4 linked regions of the Caenorhabditis elegans genome follow. The protein of the gene in region 4 interacts with the protein of the main gene of each other region in a pairwise test. Each region holds a gene or a part of one and is shown on either strand. Other genes may lie near its edges.

Region 1 (4,780 bases), on a different chromosome or scaffold from region 4:
TGTTGCGCAATATGCATTCTCAGAATTGTTTGTTCCCGTAATAAAGCATTTTAAACGGAAAAATGAAAACAAAACATAAAATTTTCTAAAGACGAGGTAATTTCAATGAAGAATGCAAGGAATTAAGGAAAGTAAACTTGGAGGCAGCCGAAAAATTTAAACAATGGCTATTTACCATGAACCTTTTCTCGTGCCAAGACACTTCTGAATAAATGCTTGCTCCTTTAAAAATGCATGTCAAAGTCTTATGATTGAGTTTAGCGGTTATTTAGCGGCATTGAAAATCAATTTATTCGATATCAAAAGAGCGAAAGAAAAAAAAAGATGACAAGGATTGAGAGAGAGAAAGAAATCTACAAGTTGACTAGAAAAAATTGAAAATCCGTACTTCGAATCATGTTCATATAATCGTAATTATCCAGATGTTTGGCGATATCGTCTTTTCGTGGGGTTTTATCACAATCTACAAGGGGATGGCTAGAAAGAAGAAATACCATTTAAAGAGACAACGGGAGGGGGGGGGGGGGGGGGGGGGAAAGGTTTAGACCTCCTCGACCTTTTCAGCATTCTCGACGTCTTGATTCATGCTTCCATATCCACCATCAATGCTTGCCTAAATCGTTGTTCTATTTTCAACAACCATCAATTCATTTCCTCATCTTCAACCTTACCTTTATAAAACTATTTGCTGTCTCTGCTTGATGGCTTGATGAGTATCCCTGTTGTTGATCAGGCAGTACAAAGTGACTGACTTGTGGAAAGGGTTGAGTTTGAACTGGATCTACAATAACTTCAACTTCCGGATGAACCATTGGCTGGTATTGCATATATTGTTGTGGTGGTGGTGGTCCATACATATACTGAACTCCTTGAGGTCTTCGGTAATCTTGTGGCATGTACCGAATTGGACGAGCGTACTGTTGTGGTTGAACTACTGGTTGAGGTACATACTCATAGTAGGTTCCTCCCGGGGAGCACATTCCAGGCTCTTGGTAGTTTGATGATGGCATTGACATTTCTTCGAATACCTGATAGCCTGTATAGTTGGAGGTTGGAGGTTGTTGGATGTGAGCGTGGTGGTGGTGGTGATGAACCATCACTGATGGAGGTGTTCCACAAACTACTGGCACACTTTGCTCGTAACAGCCATGTGATATTCCGTTTGCCATTCCTCCGAAGCTCTCTGCTTTCTGGAAAATTTAGAGGTTAGAGTTTGAGAAGCGTTTTTTGCGCCCACGGCATGTGATCTTAAATTTTTCGAAACTCGGAAACTTATGGAAACTTATGAAATGTATGAGAGATACTCGTAAATCGACATGGCTGAAGCTCACAGATATTGACGGCCACACGTTCAATCTCAATCATATATTGATTCAAAATCTTGTAGCTTAGCGATCGTGAGAAAGTAAAACTCGACGCTGTTTCTTTTTTGAAAAATCGATTTTTCAGGCGAACTCTGATACTCACCCTCATCATTGGATGTTTTCCAGTGCACAAATAACTATTATTGGAGCAATCAAATGATCTTTGCGGTGCCCATTGATGTCCCTGTGGTCCACTCATTGGTGCAGTAACCATTGATTGTTGTGGGCAGTTGAGTGAAAGTTGTCGCATCGGAAGACCTCGAACATGATGTGGAGATTGAGGTTGAATAACTGATGGTCCAGTGACTGCTGCCACGTCAAATGATTGTGCCCTTCGCATCATGAGTAGATCATGATTAAGACTTGCTTGACTTCCATATTGACTCGTCGAATGATCACCGAATGATTCCATATGGTGAAGTTCCTTGCGGGATCCGCAAGTGTTTTGTCGTTTCAGTCGGTCTTCTACGTAATTATCGTGCCGGATGTAGTCGGTGAAGTTGTCATCAGGACTGGAAATTTGTTACTTTTCTAGTTAAAATCTGACAAGACCAAATAAAGGGGCTAAACTAAAACAGACAAAATATTATGATTTTCATGATACATACATCCGAAAATTAATCAACTCACATTTTGGTTTTCTCTGACTTGTTCACAACAATATCGGTCTGCTTATTCGTAACATTATGATCAAGACCAAACCACGCGGCACACCTGTGAAGAAGCATTCGGTGATAGGATGATGGAAGCTCGAATCTTTTCGATTGTGTGCTGAAAATTATCAATTTCAGACTGAAATTTTAACAAAAACGAACCTATCATCTAAAATAAGTTCTTTGAGTTGTTTTTCGAACTCCAGAAGCTGCTTCCGATCTTCTTCACTCTTGTGTAACGTGCGATCCACAAAATTCCTTAGATCAATGCCACTTCTGTCCGAGTACTCGGTTCCTGTGGACTCTCTGCTTAACGATTTCGATGTGGACCACAGTTTATTCTGTGCGAGACCCGGTGGGCGGAGTTTTGACACGTCACTGCTTTCTGCTGGCTTCTCCTCTTCTTTGCCTTCTTCTGGATGCTCTTCTATGCATGGGACCGTAGTATCCGAGTTTTCTGATGGGCTATCAGAAATTGACAGGAGAGATATTGGCTAAAAATTAAAAAATTTCAGTCGAAAACGACCAGATTTTGTCTATAAACTTACAAACATTCTTCGAAATTGGGTGAAAAATATGAATTTCAGCAGACTTCCTAACAGGAACTATTTCAGTTTTCAGCGCGGCCTATGACACAAAATCGGATCATCCTCTGATGATTCACAAGAGAGTGAGCTGATCAATATGATAATAAAATAATGTATTCTCCAAGCAGCCGACATTTTACGGGTTAGTGATAACTTTTAGCCGGCTTCAAGAAGTTGTGTACCTTAGCAGCATACACCATACGGGACAAGAACTACATCAGCAACGGCACCCATATTCGAAGTCCGACACTTCGCGGGACAATTTCCCACCTTCCCTTGAAATTGCTCACCTCTTCAATTGTTGCATTCTGTTTTGAAAGTCGTCTTCGAACACTTCCATTCCTCCGAACTCCCTCACTTTCTGTAGCTGGCACCGTCGTCACATTCATTGTCATTATTACCGTAGTCGATCGTCGCCGATCATCTTGTTTTGCGTCTTCAACATCGTCAAGCTCTGAATTATTCTCTTCTGAAACGTCGTTTTCGGTTGACATTTACACCTGAAAATTTGGTTTTTGTTGGAAGCACAGAAAAAGCAGAGGATGAGAATTTAAAAAAATAGGATTCAAGAAGTAGTACTACCAAAAAAGAGCAGAGTTTGCATGAAAATGGAGCAGTGGGTAAGCTTCAGCTGCTTTAGAGTCTCCGCCCACGAATGTCCTTCTCCCCCATTCAATGCTAAGCCCCGCCTTTTGAGAACCAAAAAACGAGACGAAATTTCGCAATAAAAAACATAAAAATGAATATAAATACATAATAGGCCTATTTTTTGAAAAGGTATAATAGTTCGAATAAGAAAAAGAAGAAGGTATTTAAAAATTAAAAGAATTTCCAAGCTTTTATCTATGCAGAGATAAGAGATACCAAATAAATGTAAACAAAGAAATCTGAGGTGAAGCAGAGGTTCAAAGAAAACGTGGAGGAAGCAAGAAGGGAGGAAGTTAAAGCCCGTTATAATTCAATTTGCGGGTGTTTCTTGCGTATTCTTGCAATAAAAATAAAAATTCTATTGCGAGTAATTCAAAAAAAAATTCGGTATTTCCACTTTTATGTATCTTCTCGTCTAATTGTAAGTTACATAACGTCAATTTTACAACTGTGGGTCTTGTAACGGAATCTCTCGTTTATTATAGCTTAAAAGTGCATTGAAACATGAAAATTAACATTTCAAACTGAACTCCAGTCTTCGCGGTGGGACCCAAAATTTGTTGAACCTAGGCAAAATTAGTAGCTTATAGAGTTCAAAAAATTAAATTTAAAATGACTCTTCGAATTACAGTAATCTAGTTTTTCCAATCATGTCCTACTTCCTACCGTATGACAACTTTATCACCAATTTTCTATGAAACAGGCAACTAAATAAGCATGAATTAACAACTAAATATCACTGATAATATGCAGTTTCCATCCATTTTCTCAAACATTTCCAATTATTTCTGCGAAAAGCTCAAAATCAGATCAAAATCATTTTCAAGGGGGATTTGTAGGGGATTAGAAACTGCCAAATAATGTGTTTTTGTGGTGGCTCACGGGTGGGAGTGCTCATCTTGAATAATAATGGGTGGGAGGAAATTGAGGTGAGGTTTCCTAACGGAAATTGACTTTTAGAACTTTTTCGGTATGAATCTCTGGAAAATATAGTGCAAACGTAGTTCTACATCCAAAAACTTGATAACTTGAAAGAATTGTAAAATTCTTAGAATTTTTATTTGAAAATTATAAATCTCTTTTGAAAACTTTCAATAAAAAGATACTAACGAGCGGAATTCAGAATACCGTATTTCTTCTATTAATATGGCCTCCCTATTAGACTTGCACTCCCTATTAGTATTGCACCTTTGAATTTTGAGATTTTTACAACATTTTTTGCCTACTTTGCAACAAATTTTTGGTAAAATTTCTATGGAATTGAAGTTATTGTACCTTTTTGTTGCAATTGCAATCAAATTTTCTGAATTTTTACATAAGATACGAGTTTTTTTCAGAAAAAAATAGTAAGCTCAAAGTCAGAAAAATGTTCTGAAAATTAGTATTGCACTCCCTAATAGTCTTGCACTCCCTATTAGTATTGCAAGCGGGAAGACCATCGAAAAATAGTATTGCAGCCATATTAATAGAAGAAATACGGTAGTTTACTTTTGGTTAGATAAATAATATTTTTTTGCAAAGTTCAAAT
Region 2 (8,037 bases), on a different chromosome or scaffold from region 4:
TCGGAAATTTTGGTTTGGAAATTTTAAAAAATTTGGTAGAAAAAATAGAATTTTTCACAAAATTGTGGGGAAAACTAGCAAATTTTAACGCTATTTCATCAAAAAATTACAAAAAACACACTAGAAACACTAGAATTGAAAAAAATAGCGAAAAATGGAGTTTGGGTCTGCTAGACTACAAACTACAAAAAATCACTGGCAGACCAATTTAATTGGATTTTTCGGTTTTTTGCAATTGATTTCTATGAGAAAAATGTTAAAAATCGAAATTTACCAAAACATCGGTTTTAGGTCTGCTAGACTACAAACTACACACTTTTTCAATCAATTTTGTTGCATTTTTTCGGGTTTCCTCACCAAAATAGACGTTCGGACACTGTTTCATCCACATTTGTGCCACTTCCCAAGTCTCTGTGAAGCAATGACGGTGGATTTTCAGGAATTTATGATTTTCGTCCATTTTCTGAAATTATTTAGATACTTATATGGAAAAAAAACTGGAAATATTTGGGTCTGCCAGACTACAAACTACACCTTTTTAGCAGACACAATAATTTAAATTTCTGAATTTTTTTTTGCAGCAAAAATTGAAATTTCCGGGGTAATTTTGATTTTTGAAAAAAATTTAAGACTACAAACTACACAATGAAAACAAAGAAAGAACATTATGTAGTTTGTAGTCTTCAAAAATGAGAGAAATGTCCTTGTAGTTTCTCGAAAAATGTAGTTTTTCAGTTTTTTTTGTTGCAAATTTTGGGTCTGCCAGACTACAAACTACACTTTTTTAGCAGACCCAATTGCAAAATATCTATTTAATTTTCAAAAATCGGATTTTTCAATTAAATTCCTATTTCCAAAATTTGTTTTTAAAATTATTTCGAAAATGTCTCAATTTTTGGGCACAAAAAAATCTCAGAAATGAATTTGGGTCTGCCAGACTACAAACTACAAAAAAACTCTAGCAGACCCATATTTTTAGGTTTTTTGTCTAAGAAATTTGAGAAAAAAGTAAGCTCTGCGGTTTTTCGGCAATTTTCTGATTTCTAAATCAGAAATTTCAGAAAAGTTATATAAAATTAACATTCTAGACTACAAACTACATAATCTTAATTAGCAGACCCAAGTCAATTTTTTTTGCAAATTTTCAACGTTGCTTGGAAATATTTTGGTCTGCTAGACTACAAACTACACTTTTTAGATTTTTTTTTGCAAAAAAATCGATTTAAATCATCAAAAATCGGATTCATAAAAACTTCAAAAACTTTTCAAAAAATATTTTTTCAATTTCCAAAAAAAATCCGAGAATATTGGTCTGCCAGACTACAAACTACAAAAATATTTAGCAGACCATACCCAAAATCGGCAAAAATTTCAAATTTTCACAAAATTTTGGAGGAAAACTCGTTTAAACACTTTTTTAATGGGAAACATTCAAAAAAAAATCGCTTCGAGACAGCAGAAATCGAACAATTCGCTGAAAATTGATGATTTTTGGTCTGCTAGACTACAAACTACAAAAATTCATTAGCAGACCCATACGTCAATTTTCTCCAAAAAACACGATTTTTCCACCATTTTTTGCGAATTTTCCGCGGCTACCTTCTTCAAAATACGCAGGCATTGTTCTTCTGCACGTCCTTTTTGTCCACTTCTGCAGTGAATGACTAATGGTAATTGATACTTGTATGCCAAATCGATATGCTTCTCAAATACCATTTTCTGTACTTCTAGATCCGATATACAACGGTGTAAATCTAGTCCACACTCTCCGACGGCCAACACCTTCCACGTGGCTGCATTCGATAAAATGTGCTCAAGCGTCTGCCAGAAGATGTCTTTTGAAGCCCATCTGTAATTATTTGATGATAGACTACAAACTACAAAAGCATGTGTAGTTTGTAGTTTGGCATACGTCATAGAACATTTTCGACAGAAAATTGTAGTTTGTAGTCTAGCAGGCCTACAAACTACAAACTACAACTTTTTTGTTCAATTTTTAAATAATCAGTGTGTATAAAATAAAAATCCTCGCCAAAGCAATCTGATATTATCTTTTGTCGAATTTTTAAATTCTGTAGATCGGTCTGCTAGGCTACAAACTACAAAAAAACGGTAGCAGACCCATCGGATATTTCGAAAATTTGGGTTTTTAACGAGTTTTGGAGAAATTTTCCCGTTTTTTTTAAAGAAAATTGGGAAAAAGTGCAAAAAATTTTTAATTTTTGGGGAAAAAGGATTTTTTTTTTCAAAATTTTGGTGGAAAAATCAGTTCCAAAAATTATGTGTTTTTTTTCATTATTTAAAGTGATTTTTTGACTATTTTAGAACATTCCCCTGAAAGCCAAACAATTCAGTGAGAAATATCAATTTAGGAGGAAAAAATTGATTTTTTTTTAATTTCAAGGTGCATTTTCTGTACATTTTTAATAAAAAAAGGTTAAACTTGCAAATTTTCTTTGCAAAAAAAAATTGAAAAATGTATTAAATTCGATTTTTATTATTTTTTTCCAAAAAGAATAGCCGAAAAATTATGTTTTTTTTTTCAATTTTCAAAAAAAAAAAATTTTTAATTTTCACTTCAACTTCTTTCACTAAAACGTTTTAAAAAAATTGGGTCTGCCAGACTACAAACTACACCAAGAAGTGACACATACTCTTGTGCATAATGTGGATGACATCCCCAAGTGGTTCCCAAGTAGATATTCGATTCAATTTCATTTATAATCCAATCTATATCATATCCATTTCCACCACCACCATCATTCACAACAAAAAGCGAAGGTTTAATGAAATTCGCAATGACTCCATAAAAAGATTTCGGAAATCCATATGGATATCGATGAATCCAATGCGATAGGCCATGACTGAGTGATGAATTCGGATTATTATGAACCATTTGGTTGTACATGAAATCAACGTGGCAATGTGAATCGATGAATGGGACAGTGTGCTCGTGTAACTGCAAAAAATCGGGTTTATTTGGGTGAATTTCCGAAAAAAATCCCCCCAAATCGGTAATTTCAAGTCATTTTTTGCTGAAAAACTAGTAAAAACTGGCGAAAAAACAGTTTTGTAGTTTAGAGTCTGTGTTTTTTCAATAGAAAATTCGGCATTTTTGGCGAAAAAATAGCAAAAAACCATTTTGGTCTGCTAAATATTTTTGTAGTTTGTAGTCCAGCAAGCAGACCCATTGGGTCTGCCAACTAACCAGTTTTTACTGAATTTTCCAGTTTTTTTTTTTTTTCAAAACACTGTAGTTTGTAACCTAGACTACAAACTACATATCTTTTTTTCGTCAAAATTTTGCATTTTCAAGTGAAAATTAGCAGATTTTTGGGAAAAAAAAACTCAGTTTCCCACAGAAAATCGATAGAAAATGTGGATTTCTGGATTTTCAGACGGGGTTTTCGGCGAAAAATGGGGTTTTATTCTACCGAATTTCAATATTTTCTGTGTGAAAATTGATTGCTTGAGTCAATTTTGGTGAATTTTCACATTCAAATTCCGAGAAAATGCAAATTTTGAGATATTTCCCGCAAAAAAATCATTAAAAACACTAACATTCTGTCGAAAATGTATAGTTTGTAGTCTGGCAGACCCGTTTGTTTGATTTGGGTCTGCTAGACTACAAACTACACAATTTTAAATTTTTTGAATCATACTGAATTTCGCCAATTTTCTCAATGTTTCGTGTGAAAATTAGCGAATTTTCATGAAAAATTCAATTTTTTGCAATTGTCACATTTGGCGGAAATTTCCAAAACCGGCAATTATCAAATTTGCCGAAAATTTCCAAAACCGGCAATTTTCAAATTTGCCGAAAATTTCCAAAACCGGCAATTATCGAATTTGCCGAAAATTTACAAAACCGGCAATTATCAAATTTGCCGAAAATTTCCAAAACCGGCAATTATCGAATTTGCCGAAAATTTACAAAACCGGCAATTATCAAATTTGCCGAAAATTTACAAAACCGGCAATTATCGAATTTGCCGAAAATTTCCAAAACCGGCAATTATCAAATTTGCCGAAAATTTCCAAATCCGGCAATTATTAATTGCGTGAACTGCTCCAATTCAACAGTGTGTTCAATTCAAAACCCATATTACCCTTTTCAAAAATTCAAAAAAAAAAAACGCGACGCAACCGCGACGCGCCGCTTAAAAATTTTCAAATTTCCAAGTACCTCCAGAATAATATCCTTAAATGGTATATTCTCATTGTGATAACTATTATTAGCTACAGGTCTATTCGGAAACGAATTAATTCTTGACGATTGTTGAATAATCGTCGGACGTTGATCAGGCCAATCTCCATTCGTTGAATAATTTGTACCACGGACGGGAAGCGGTCTTGAGGCGTTTTGAGGTGACATCGGGCGTCGGTCCAAAGGCGGCGGCGGTGGCCTACTATGGTGCATTGTTGGTGCTGCTCCGCCGAGCCGACGTGTATGTACTTGAACCATTTGATGATGTTGGTGAACAGCGGGACCCTGTAAAAAGAATTGTTTTAATGGTTTCCGATATTAAAATTCCGGATAGTTTTAGGGTGAAATATCTGCAAAATCTGAAATAAAAATGGCAAAAATTCCGGATATTTGGCATTGAAATCCGATTTTTTCATGGAAAATCTAGAAAAAAAACGGCAGAAATTTCATGGAAATTGGATTTTTCGTCCCTCACCAACCGCGAAAATCGATGGGATTTGTTGGTAGACACTTGGCAGCGTGCCAAGTGTGTTATTCGGAGAGCAGATGGCCATTAGCGGGGGAGGAAATTGGGAAATTTTGAGAAAAATCAATTTTTTTTTCGGAATTGGGGGGAAAAATTAGCGAATTTTAATGCTAATTGGTCAAAAATACAAGAAAAAATTAAAAAAAAAATCGCGAAATTTTTTTTTTTGGGTCTGCTAAATACATTTTGTGTAGTTTGTAGTCTGGCAGACCATAAAACTAGGTAAAAATCGTCAATTTCGCTGTGATTTTGGGCAGTTTTCCTGATTTTTTCTCGCTGGAAAAATCCAAATTTTGAATTTTCTCGCAATTTGAATATGAAAATTCACGAACATTGACTGAAAAATCGATTTTTACAGAGAAATATGAGTAAAATCACAATTTTCGCCGAAAAACCGTCTGAAAAAACGAAAAATCCCCATTTTTTATTAATTTTCTGTACGAAACCGAGTTTTTTCCCTCTAAATCTTTTTTATTTTTTTCACATGAAAACGCAACATTCAGTCGAAAAAAATATGGGTCTGCCAAATACGTTTTGTAGTTTGTAGTCTAGCAGACCTACTCTCAGAAATTTGGTCTGCTAGACTACAAACTACAAAAAACGCTAGCAGACCAATCGAAAATTTGAGAGATTACGCCGAAATTCCGGGTTTTTATGCTAAAATTGAATTTTTCACTGAAATTCTGGAATTCAAAAGTTAAATAAAATCCACGATTTAATTGATCTTTTAAACGAAAAAAAAATCGTATTTTTAAGGAAAATTCCATAAAAATTAGCCAATTTTTACAACAAAAAAACTGAGGAAATAGCCTAAAAATGTATATTTTTGTACAGTAAAAAGTGTAGTTTGTAGTACGCTCGATTTGGGTCTGCCAAACTACAAACTACGATTTTTTTGTGAAAATTAGCGAATTTTTATGGAATTTTAACGAAAAATACGATTTTTTCGTTTAAAAACGTCAAAATTTTTGTTATAAATTTTCAAAAAAGAAACACGTGGATTAAACGTGTAGTTTGTAGTCTAGCAGACCCAAATTCAGAAAATGGGTCTGCCAGACTACAAACTACAATTTTTTTGAAGTCCTCTCGAACAAAACTAATGACCTGTCTGCCCGGTGGTCCCCATGGAACATTTCTCCAGCTTTCATTAGAAGTCGAGCTGACAGGCCTTCCACCGGATCCAGATCCGGCCCGATTTAGTCCAGAATCTCGAATTAGTCCATCTTCTATTCCACCACCATCTTCACAACAATTTGGCGGCGGCGGCGGCTGTTGGAACCCGTAACGTCTTGGTTCACCCATTTTTTTTCTGCAAAAAAAAAGCGTTAAATTTCGTTGATTTTCTTTGACTGGCAAGAAAAATTTCGGAAAAAAAAAACGGTTTTTTAAGAATTTTGGAGAAAAAATCAGTTAAAAAACGTGTTTTTTGCATAATTTAAAGTGATTATTTGCCTTTTTTAAGAAAAAAATATCAAAAAAAAAACGCTTCGAAAGGCCAAAAATCAAAAAATTTGGAGTTTGGGTCTACTAGACTACAAACTACAAAAAACGCTGGCAGACCCATCGGGTAAATATTTCCAAAATTTGAGTGATTTTCGTTAGATTTTTTAAAGGAAACGTGATTTAAAAACGAATTCTTTTTCTAATTTTTCTATTTTTTTGTATTAAAAAAATTCTTTTGATATTGGGTCTGCTAGACTACAAACTACACAAAAATTGGTTTTTCTTTGTAGAAAAAAAAATCAAATTCGCAATATCATTATGAGCAGTTTTTGAGATTTTAATTTAAAAAAAAAATAACGCAATTTTTCGCGAAATATCGTAGTTTGTAGTCTGCCAGACCAAGTCACAAACTACAGAAAAAGAAAGGTATTGTAGTTTGTAGTCTATATCAGGATACTATAAACTACAAAAAACAAAGACGAAAAACAGAAAAAAAAAAGTACAAATATTTCTGGAGTTGAAACCAAAAAAAAATTGTGAAAAAATATATGAAAATTCAGAAATTTTCAGCAGAAATTTTTATAAAATATATATATATGGTGTGTCGGTGTCTAAAGCACGATGGCGGAGGAAAAAAAAATCAATAAATAGTTAAATTTTCGAAGAAAAAAGAGCAAAAAAATAAAGATATGACGAATTTGGGGGGTTTCTAACGAAAAAAAACCGAAAAAAAATCGAGAAACTGCCGGAAAATTAAGTTTTTTTTTGTTGCTACAATAATCATAATCATAATGTTTAAAGAAGAATTAAGTAATAGACACACAGGTTGTATACATGAACAGGTGAAGAAGGGACTTTTGTGAATAAATTAAAATTTTAAGAAAAAAAACCTGAGAAAAGGTGGCGATAGAGCACGTTTACTACACACAAACAGTGTTAATCGGTTAGAAAAGACAAAGAAGCTTGAGCAATCAATAAAATATGCTGAAAACTCGAGGAAAAATGGGGAAAAATGGAGTGGAAAATCGATTTTTTTACCAGAAAACACTTTGAAATTCGGGAAAAAACCCAAAAAATCGAATTTTTTGTGAAAAATTTGAGTTTTTTATCCGAAAAAATGCCGAAAATCCGCACACATTTCCGGTTAAAAACGCAAAAAAGCTAAATTTTGCCGAAAAAATGATGGGTCTGCGAAATATTTTTGTGTAGTTTGTAGTCTAGCAGACCCAAATCGCCGCGTATGGGTCTGCTAGACTACAAACTACACGTTTTTAAGCCAATTTTCGTATTTTTCAAGGGATATTGAGCAAAAATTTGCGAAAACTGAGAAATCGGCGTTTTTTTTGTTGATTTTTTGAGTGTAAAAACTCGAACTTTTAAACGAAAAAAAAATCGTATTTTTCAGGAAAATTCGATAAAAATTCGTAAATTTTCACAGGAAACAAACTAAGAAAATCTCTTAAAAATCTCTTAAAAATCGTGAAATTCAGTCGAAAAGTGTAGTTTGTAGTCTGGCAGACCCATACGCTTGATTTGGGTCTGCTAGACTACAAACTACAAAAATATTTAGCAGACCATCACTATTTTTTCGCTAAAAATGTCAAAATTTCATAAATTTGAGGCTAGGTGGCCAGACTACAAACTACACAAATCTGTAGCAGACCAAAATGATTTTCAGCTCATTTTCAGCCAAATTTCCTCAAATTTTCAGCATTTAACACAGAATCTTCTAAGCACTATCGGTACGAGAACGAAAGATACACGAGAAAAAGTTGCGTTTTCGGCGTCGCGGTGGAGCTCCAGGAGCAGCAGTAGGAGGAGGATCTGAAGCTGAAGCAACACCATCAGTTTCAGCACCATT
Region 3 (3,338 bases), on a different chromosome or scaffold from region 4:
AGTATTTCTTGAGAAATTTCCCTTTTTTTTAAAGAAGAAAATAGACATTTTAATTTTAAATAATCTGTAATAATCACTATTTCTTCTCGAACTCGATTTTTTTTAAAAATTCTGTCAACTTATTAATTTTCGAAATTAGGGGGAGCTTGTTGAGTATGTTTTGGTAAAAGTTACCAAGAAAAACGACTAAATTGAAATTTTAAAAAAACCTTCAATTATTCTCAAAAACGGTCTAAATTTTTATTCTTCAGCTGACTGCATCAATCATTGGAGACGCAGTATTCTATGGATCAGACAGTCTACTTGCCATGTCAAAACTACATTCACTGGCCGATAAAAATGCATCCGCGTTGCTCGCCACGAATCTTCCAGTTGTTGAGAGAACCCGATACAAGAAGTTCCTTTCTACGATCACGAGGGCTTCGAAGCGAATTTATTAATTGTTTTTTTTGTTATAATATCCATTTTTATGTTGTTGATTGTTCATCTTGTTCTGTTGATTTTTAAGTGTTCAATTAAAAAATTTATTCCAAAAAAACACAAAAGAGTTCAAAAAAGTCAATAGAATCCGCATCCATAACCACCATATCCTCCATACCCGAAATCAAAACCTCCGTATCCATATCCTCCATAAAATCCATTATAATATGGGTCGAACATAACACCACCTCCATAATATGGATAAGGGCTCATGATCACTGGCGGCGGAGCCATGACAACTGGAGCCACCGGAGCAGCACCCATGACCATTGGTTGGGATCCATAGACCACGGGAGCAGCTTGTTGTTGTTGAGGGTAAGCTTGAGCAGGTGCAGCCGGAGTTGCCTGGGGAGCTGCCTGAGGAGCTGGTGTAGGTGCCGGGACTGGGGCTCGCGGAGCAGACTTTCTCTTCTCCACTTCCTTTTCAACCTCTTTCTCCGTTTGGTCGATGCAAGTAAAAAGCTCTGGATCTTCAGGCGTTGGTGATGGCTCCGCAACTCTCTCCGGTGGTTCTGCAATCGTTACTCTCCTATTTTTGGGCTCCACGACTTTCTCAGGAGCTTTCGGTGCTGCTGGAGGTGCGTAGGCCGGTGGAGGTCCCTGTGGGATCCCTTGAGGCTGCTGTCGAGGGTATGCCTGAAAAATCGATATTTTCTTTTATTGATTTTCGGAAAATTATCGATTTTCCCTACCATTTGCTCTGTCGAGGCGTTTGGAGATGGTTGAGTGTGCTGACGATTCTGAAAAGTTGAGGTACAAGGAGGAGTTCTTGAGCTTGACTTCAAGGCGACCTTCGTCTGCCTTGTGTCTATTCAGTTTTTTTTATGGAACCCGGAACAGGGATTATAGGCAGGCACGGTCACCTCATATGAAACTTGGAGACTTACCATTTGGTCCGAGCGTTGGTTGTTCCGTTGATTATTTCTAGCTTTCTTCGATTGACAGCATCCCATTTTTCATCGATATATTTGAGTTCTTTTGATTATAAAGTAAGTTGGGAATAAAATTTTTTAGCGGCAAGTTTGAACATTTGAAAAATAAATCATTTCCAAAAAAATAACTGCAAGGCGTTCACGCAGAAATGGAAGCGGCCGACACTTTCCTTTTTCTAATGCCAGCAGTCGACACTTCCCGTGGATAAATTTTGGTGGATCAATTTGCCAGTTTCGGACCGATTAACTAATTTTTAGAAAACAATCTCAGACTATTTTTATTGCAAAAAAAGGATCAATTATCAATTATTTCTTATCGGAAATATTTTCAAGTCACTTCATCTTCTTCTTACTTTTCATTTGACATCTCGATTAAAACATAAACGGATCACAATAGAATGGATCACCGTAGTACATTCCACCTCCATAACATGGATAAGGATCCACAATGACCACTGGCGGAGGAGCAGCCACTACGACTTGCTGTTGCGGTGGATAGTATGGCTGTTGAGCCCCATACGCAGGAGGCGGTTGTGGCTGGTACGGGAGACCTGGAGACGGTTGTTGACGTTGAGGTTGTGGAGGCTTCTGTCCATTGGGAGGTGGAGCTTGTTGCTGCTGCTGCTGTCGAGGTGGAGGTGGAGGTTGATTCCTATTCTGAGGTTGATTCTGGGCAGGATAGGGGCCTGATTGGGTTCCGGTTTGATTCTGAAAATATAGTTTTTGAGACGAGGAATCTCTAAAAATGAATGCTGTCGAGATTGTAAAAGGTGTGCAAAACTATAGTGACTCTACAGTAACCAGGTAATAAACCTGCGCCAACCGTACCCCTAACAACACGTAGTACTTTGGTTTCAAAAGAGTTCGCAGCGAAAGCTGATGCAAGCTTAAGCGTACAAGTACAGTATTACTACAGTAACACTGTAATTACAACGATGAGCTACCGTAATCTTGCAATAAACCTATGAAACCCGCTACCGTACCACTACAGTAAACCAATCGAAACTTGGTTCTGCAGAGCGTAATCCTACAGTACCTACCATTTGTTGTCCATTTCGATTTGAATTCCTACTATTCTGCTTGTTTTTTGAACCGCAGCATCCCATTTTCTCACGGCTTTCAGAAATGAATTTCTTTGAGTTTGAAATTGATTTTTGGAAAGTTTTACACGTAAATGTTAAACTTTTCGACTTTTTAAATTATTTTTTTCCAGATTTTTATTATTATTATTTAGGCACGAATGAAGTTCAATTTGAGACAGCTAACATTCACGAAAATAGGGGTTAACAAGGAAGGCGCGAAGGCAAACACAGGTAGGCACGAGGGAGTGAGATAGGCGGATAGGCTTGTAGGCTCAAAATGGTGTATGGACCTGAAAATGTTGATAATAACGCTGATAAAAACGTTGATAAAAACGATAGAATTGTACTGTAGTTTTTATTGAATATCATCAATTCGTAGAAATCTCGGTATATCACCAATACATACACATACACCTATATATATAAATGAATAAATAAATGCAGCGGTATGCACACCCGTTCGGTAAGCAATCCAAGTAGTTCATCCGGTATTAAATGTGGGAGAAGGTAGGGTACCATGAAAGAAGCTTAAACTCTCATTCGGAACCCGTCGTTGTTTTCTTCTTCTTCTTCTTGATTATTGTCAGCTCCCTCAGCTTCTGGTTCATCGGGCTCACAAGTTGTCGTTGGTTCCTCAGTTGTTGTAGATGTTGTGGTGGATTCCGTTGTTGTAGTCGGAGCCTCGTAGTTCTTTGGCATGTAGCAGAGCCCTTGGTAGCAGGCTGGAGCATTTGCTGGGCAGTTGGAGCATTTTCCATTGTCACCGGAAGCCCAGGTGAAAGCTGGCATCTGGAATAAGGAGTTCAGTGAAAATTAATATTTAATTTTTGGTAAAATAAGAACT
Region 4 (4,601 bases):
ATATCTGGCATCATTTACAATTGTTGATTACGTTTTTACCTCATGTACTTCGTATATGTTTAGAAATCGTGTATTTTATGTCAACGATGTTGTTCGTTAAGCTTTAATGAACAAACACATCAAATTGAACACAACAAGATGTAATTCATATAAATAACTCTAAAAGAGTCTTATGTTTCCAAAATATTTCTAGGCAACTTGGTTCAGAATCGGGCTGGCAGGCGGGTATTGCGTTCCCACCTCGCCGTGCGATGTAATCACAGAAGATCATCGCCCGAACTCATCATATTCAGTTGCAGATCAGAGATTGACCCATACTGAAGACTGGAGAAAGGGTGAAAGTGTGCTGAGGCAACAAAACGGCGCGGCCGACACTCTTCAGGTTCCGCCGTCAACTAAGTTTTGTGTGTGCCGCTAAACGAGAGTGCGTGTGAGACGAAGAGGCGCAGAATGAGGTATCTGTGCAGTGGAAAGGAACACCCTCTCTTTTTGACATTTCCGGCTACAATTGATGATTTTTTTCAAATATAATAACAAGTCCAAGTTTTAATAAATCATTCTTCATTCAAAATATGTTCTCATCTTATACAAGTTAAAAAGAAGTGAAGAAAACATCAGTATAAATGGTTGAAACACAATTTTACACATATCAGAAAAGTGAGCATCATTTGTGGAACTTGATAACTGATTAAAAATAAAATGCCAGCAGTTCGGGGAGTGGATTGGAACAGGGATCGTACCAGTATCGTCTGTGAGTGGAAAATTTTTTTGAAAAGCCTCAAATGTCCAGATAAACTCGTTGAAGACAGGAAAGGTTTTGCAAATTTTTCACAAAATCATAAATGAAAACTTTAAGAAAGAACTAAACATTAACAGGCAATATGAAGAGACCAGATCAATTGAAAGATTGAAAAATGTGATACACTCACATGAATCTAAACTTGTAATTGTTTTGTTTAAAAGATAAACTAATGTTTTCAGTAGACATTGAATAATTACAATAAAAATTAAGATATTTGAGGCATCCACGAGGAAAATGGCATTGTATTTTGTTGACGATCATTTTTCTCTTTCTGTGCCCGAAGTCTTGGATCTGATACGGCATTCCCTCCAGCGCCCAGCAATGAGCTGAAAGCATCAAACTGTTTGGCGATTGCTTTGGCTCTTCTTGGATCATTGGCAGCTATACGATCAGGGTTCTCAACATTTGAGTACGGAAGTCGCCTTTGAACACGAACTAGTCCCCAAGTGACTTGCACTGTTTGTGGTATGACTGCTACACGATTCGATGATCCAAACATGCTGGAATAGTTGGACGGAGGAGGCGAGGCTGGAGAATCGTCGACCACGTTGTTCCGAGGACTTGATATGAGCTTTTCGCCATTGGCCATCTTGTTAAGCATTGCCTGAAAAATAAATATTGTTAAATGAAAGCTTTCTCAATATTCTTACCTCTAAATTGAATCCTTGTGGTGATGCAGTATGTCGTTCTTGAGAGACTATTTGCGGTGGCTGAACTAATCCAGGCTGCTGAAGATGTGGATGTTGAATTGGAACTGGATGCATAGGCCTCATTAGTTGTGGTTGCTGTTGATGCATTATAGGAGGAGTTTGAGTACTCAGCCTAGGTGGCTCAATTGTTCGTGGCGGTGGAAGTCCTTGAACTTGTTCGGGCCGTGGCCCTTGATTGAAATATCCTCCAGCTGCTGGAGCAACAGGGTATTGCTGATGTATTGGAATTCCTGGTCCAGGGTTTCGTTGAATGGTTGGCACAACAACTGCTGGTGGTGGAAGTTGACTTGGATGAGATGCTTGAGGGATCGGAGCATGTATCACAGGCGTTGCGTGGGGTGGAGATGAACCATTCATATTAGGGCCTGAACATTTTTGAATAATTATTATGGAAAAGTGATTTCGATTTTCTGCTTACCTCCAGGGAGGAGAACTCTCCTTCTTGGCATTACTTGTGCAGCTGCAGCGGCAGCAGCAGCATTTGCCACTGGATTCTGTCTGTATGTTTGAGCCTGCTGCGCTTGATGAGCCTGCCGGGCTTCTTCGTCTGCTAGAATCTTCTCAATGATTGGTCGGGTATAGTCCGTCAGGGGAACGTGAGAAAATCTACATGGATCATGGTTGCATTGTCCTTTGTGGAAGGATTTGCATGGGAATTCTCCATGGAGCATAAGACATTGTAGACCCTGAACAAGAATTAGTATTTTAAAATGAAAAGTTGGTTTTTTTTTCTGAAACTAACCTTTTTACAAAAACTATTAGCATAAAAGTTGCACAGAACAGGCCGTCTCAGTGAATCTTCGGCTTGGTGAGAGTACAAACAATTGTCACCGTCTCTACAATAACCTTCTCGGAAAAACTTGCAGATCTGATGTTCTGTTTGAAATCTTGGCTTCGCTCCATTCCGGAAGCCACCCCGGAATCCTCCTCGTCCTCCATAGTATGGCCGTTTTGATCTCGGGTCAAAGTCTCCGTCGTCGTGGGAAGGGGATAAGCGTCTCCGCCGATTTACACGATAATCAGTATCACTGAATGGTTCTTCTTCTGACGAAGCTGCTGCTCCGCTACGATAGTCTTTATCTCCACCGAAATAATCTGAAAATTATTAAATTTCTCCTTTTCAGCACTCGAAAATTATTCCCATTTATTAATGCGTCAATAAAAAACAAGAGAGGTTACACTCTAAATTTCGTAGAATAAACAGTTGCCGGGATAATTATCGGATCGGATAAATTTAATTCACAAATCAGACGTTAGACTTTCAAAAAATTCAGAGAAACATTTACCATTTCCATCCGGAGCATCATTGTGAGATCCAAACGGATCCGGATCTCGCTCTCTCGGAGGACTATTCCCTTCAAACCGCCTGACTCGTTCTCGTGAATCCCGACCACTTGTTTTCTCAGGATGTGCTGGAGCAATATGAGCACCTGGAGCTGATTCTGATGATTTGGAGGGCACTGCTTTTACAGATTCATCTTCATCATCACATATTTCACCGTCCTCAGGAAGTTCACCATCTTCGAAATCGTCTTTATTTTCATTTTGAGATATGATGTCCGTCATGATCTAGAATAATTGTAATGATTGGATTTATACCCGGTTTTACGGATTTTCATAATAAAAAGTTAAAGCGGTGTTCACTTCTCAAGCTCTAATAAAAAGCAAGAAAAGAAATAAAAAGATAATGAAAATTCATGTTTTCCTCCGTGATTCCCTTTTCCGGATCTTTGTGATTATTTACATATTTCAGTTCGTTCTCTCAATTTTCAAGTCACAGTTGCAGTGGGAGGAGCATTCTCATGTTGTCTACGATAGAAACGGCATGAGCGCCCATTGGTCGCGCAGACTCCGCCCATAATGTAGGAAATTTGAACAGAGTTTTGGGATGAATTTTTTCTCGAATTAAAAATCAACTATTTCGAAAAGCTTTAAAACATAAAAATGTATAGCTTCTTGGAATCTTGAACGTTGGAATTTCAGTCTAGAATGCTCAAATCTGGAACTCAAACAAACCGTCTTTTCATATCAATAACTTCAGTTTTTCAGTTGCTTTTAAATTCTTCGAACTATTTCAGATCAATGTTGATCTTTCAAACTCGTTAAAATTCAATTAACCAATTTTTCGTCATTTTTTCTCCAATTATGCTTAACTTTTTGTTACCATTTGGAAACTATTCTTGTATGTTAGAAAAAGGATTGATGATGACGAAAACCACAGAAAGAATGTATACAGCAAGCGCGTTGTCATACTGCTGCTATTCGCTCAAGTGACTATCGCAACCCGTCAAAATCGACCACGAGGGAGAAGGGAAGAGTGGAAAGAGAGGCCCCCGTCATTTCTCTCTCTCAGCGCAAACAACTCTACTAATCGGCAGCGTCTCTTCAGTTTACACACTCTAACATTGAATATCGATCAAGGGAAATGGGCTTACGAATACGAATTTCGTTACGAAACACGTTTTGGGCTAGGCGCGTTACAAGGAAAATAATATCTAAAGAAATTGAACGTAGCGTGGCAAATTTAACAAAAACTGGAAATAGCTAGACTAATTCACCTAAAATTAGCAAATTTTTTCGAAACAATCGAATTTGACACTAGATTAAATTTCCAACGTTCATTTTTCCGAGCGATTACCAGCTTTATTGAGCTTTGAATATTTATCAAATACCTCCAATTTTCAGAATATTTCAGAGTATAATTTCTTCAAATTCTCTTCACCTTCTCTGCAATTAATTTTCAAGGGATTGCACACGTTTTTCTGGCTTTTACATAAGCTTTCGCCCAGTCGGATCATTTAATTTTACTCCCATATTCTTTTTCGCCAAATTCACCTAAAATGTTTGTTAGAAGTTTGTGCCACAAAAAAGAAACAGAAAATGAGTATATGAATTCTCCGGAGTGCCGTCGTGGCGGACACCAGCATTAATGTTTTCGAAAATCACACGAGACGACTTGCAAGCGAAGCAAACCGCGCGTCTGAAGACCGTGACGCAGCCGCTCCGCAGTGTAAAACCAGTCAGAGACGCAGACATTGCTCTCATGTCCCGGTGGGACAGAGGAGTACGGTAACACTCGTTTCACGTGT

Evidence for each region.
Region 1: the proteins of T26A8.4 (region 4) and ZK121.2 interact in a two-hybrid assay, tested with the Caenorhabditis elegans proteins (one large-scale study listed by BioGRID).
Region 2: the proteins of T26A8.4 (region 4) and Y37H2A.1 interact in a two-hybrid assay, tested with the Caenorhabditis elegans proteins (one large-scale study listed by BioGRID).
Region 3: the proteins of T26A8.4 (region 4) and R02F2.5 interact in a two-hybrid assay, tested with the Caenorhabditis elegans proteins (one large-scale study listed by BioGRID).

The regions. Positions count from the first base shown.
Region 1 is NC_003281.10:5,340,008-5,344,787, reverse strand, and holds ZK121.2 (R3H domain-containing protein), read right to left. Parts: upstream 3,107-4,780; 5' UTR 3,099-3,106; coding exon 2,895-3,098; intron 2,512-2,894; coding exon 2,180-2,511; intron 2,136-2,179; coding exon 1,995-2,135; intron 1,877-1,994; coding exon 1,468-1,876; intron 1,191-1,467; coding exon 672-1,190; intron 614-671; coding exon 542-613; 3' UTR 529-541; downstream 1-528.
Region 2 is NC_003283.11:18,106,274-18,114,310, reverse strand, and holds the start of Y37H2A.1 (Deoxyribonuclease TATDN2), read right to left. Parts: upstream 6,043-8,037; 5' UTR 6,036-6,042; coding exon 5,838-6,035; intron 5,330-5,837; exon of another isoform or gene 5,269-5,329; intron 4,493-5,268; coding exon 4,187-4,492; intron 2,960-4,186; coding exon 2,655-2,959; intron 1,850-2,654; coding exon 1,600-1,849; intron 464-1,599; coding exon 358-463; intron 1-357. Other genes in the region: Serine/threonine-protein kinase par-4, read right to left, coding at 7,906-8,037.
Region 3 is NC_003281.10:5,477,499-5,480,836, reverse strand, and holds R02F2.5 (Prion-like-(Q/N-rich)-domain-bearing protein), read right to left. Parts: upstream 1,520-3,338; 5' UTR 1,434-1,519; coding exon 1,368-1,433; intron 1,221-1,367; coding exon 1,173-1,220; intron 1,117-1,172; coding exon 559-1,116; 3' UTR 509-558; downstream 1-508. Other genes in the region: R02F2.7 (Myb-binding protein 1A-like protein), read left to right, coding at 252-440; R02F2.6 (uncharacterized protein), read left to right, coding at 1,913-2,155; R02F2.10 (Prion-like-(Q/N-rich)-domain-bearing protein), read right to left, coding at 1,785-2,120, 2,453-2,518; Protein lon-1, read right to left, coding at 3,023-3,283.
Region 4 is NC_003282.8:8,428,413-8,433,013, forward strand, and holds T26A8.4 (C3H1-type domain-containing protein), read right to left. Parts: upstream 3,082-4,601; 5' UTR 3,079-3,081; coding exon 2,799-3,078; intron 2,608-2,798; coding exon 2,255-2,607; intron 2,199-2,254; coding exon 1,931-2,198; intron 1,878-1,930; coding exon 1,453-1,877; intron 1,407-1,452; coding exon 1,008-1,406; 3' UTR 549-1,007; downstream 1-548. Other genes in the region: tmem-231 (Transmembrane protein 231), read left to right, coding at 1-100.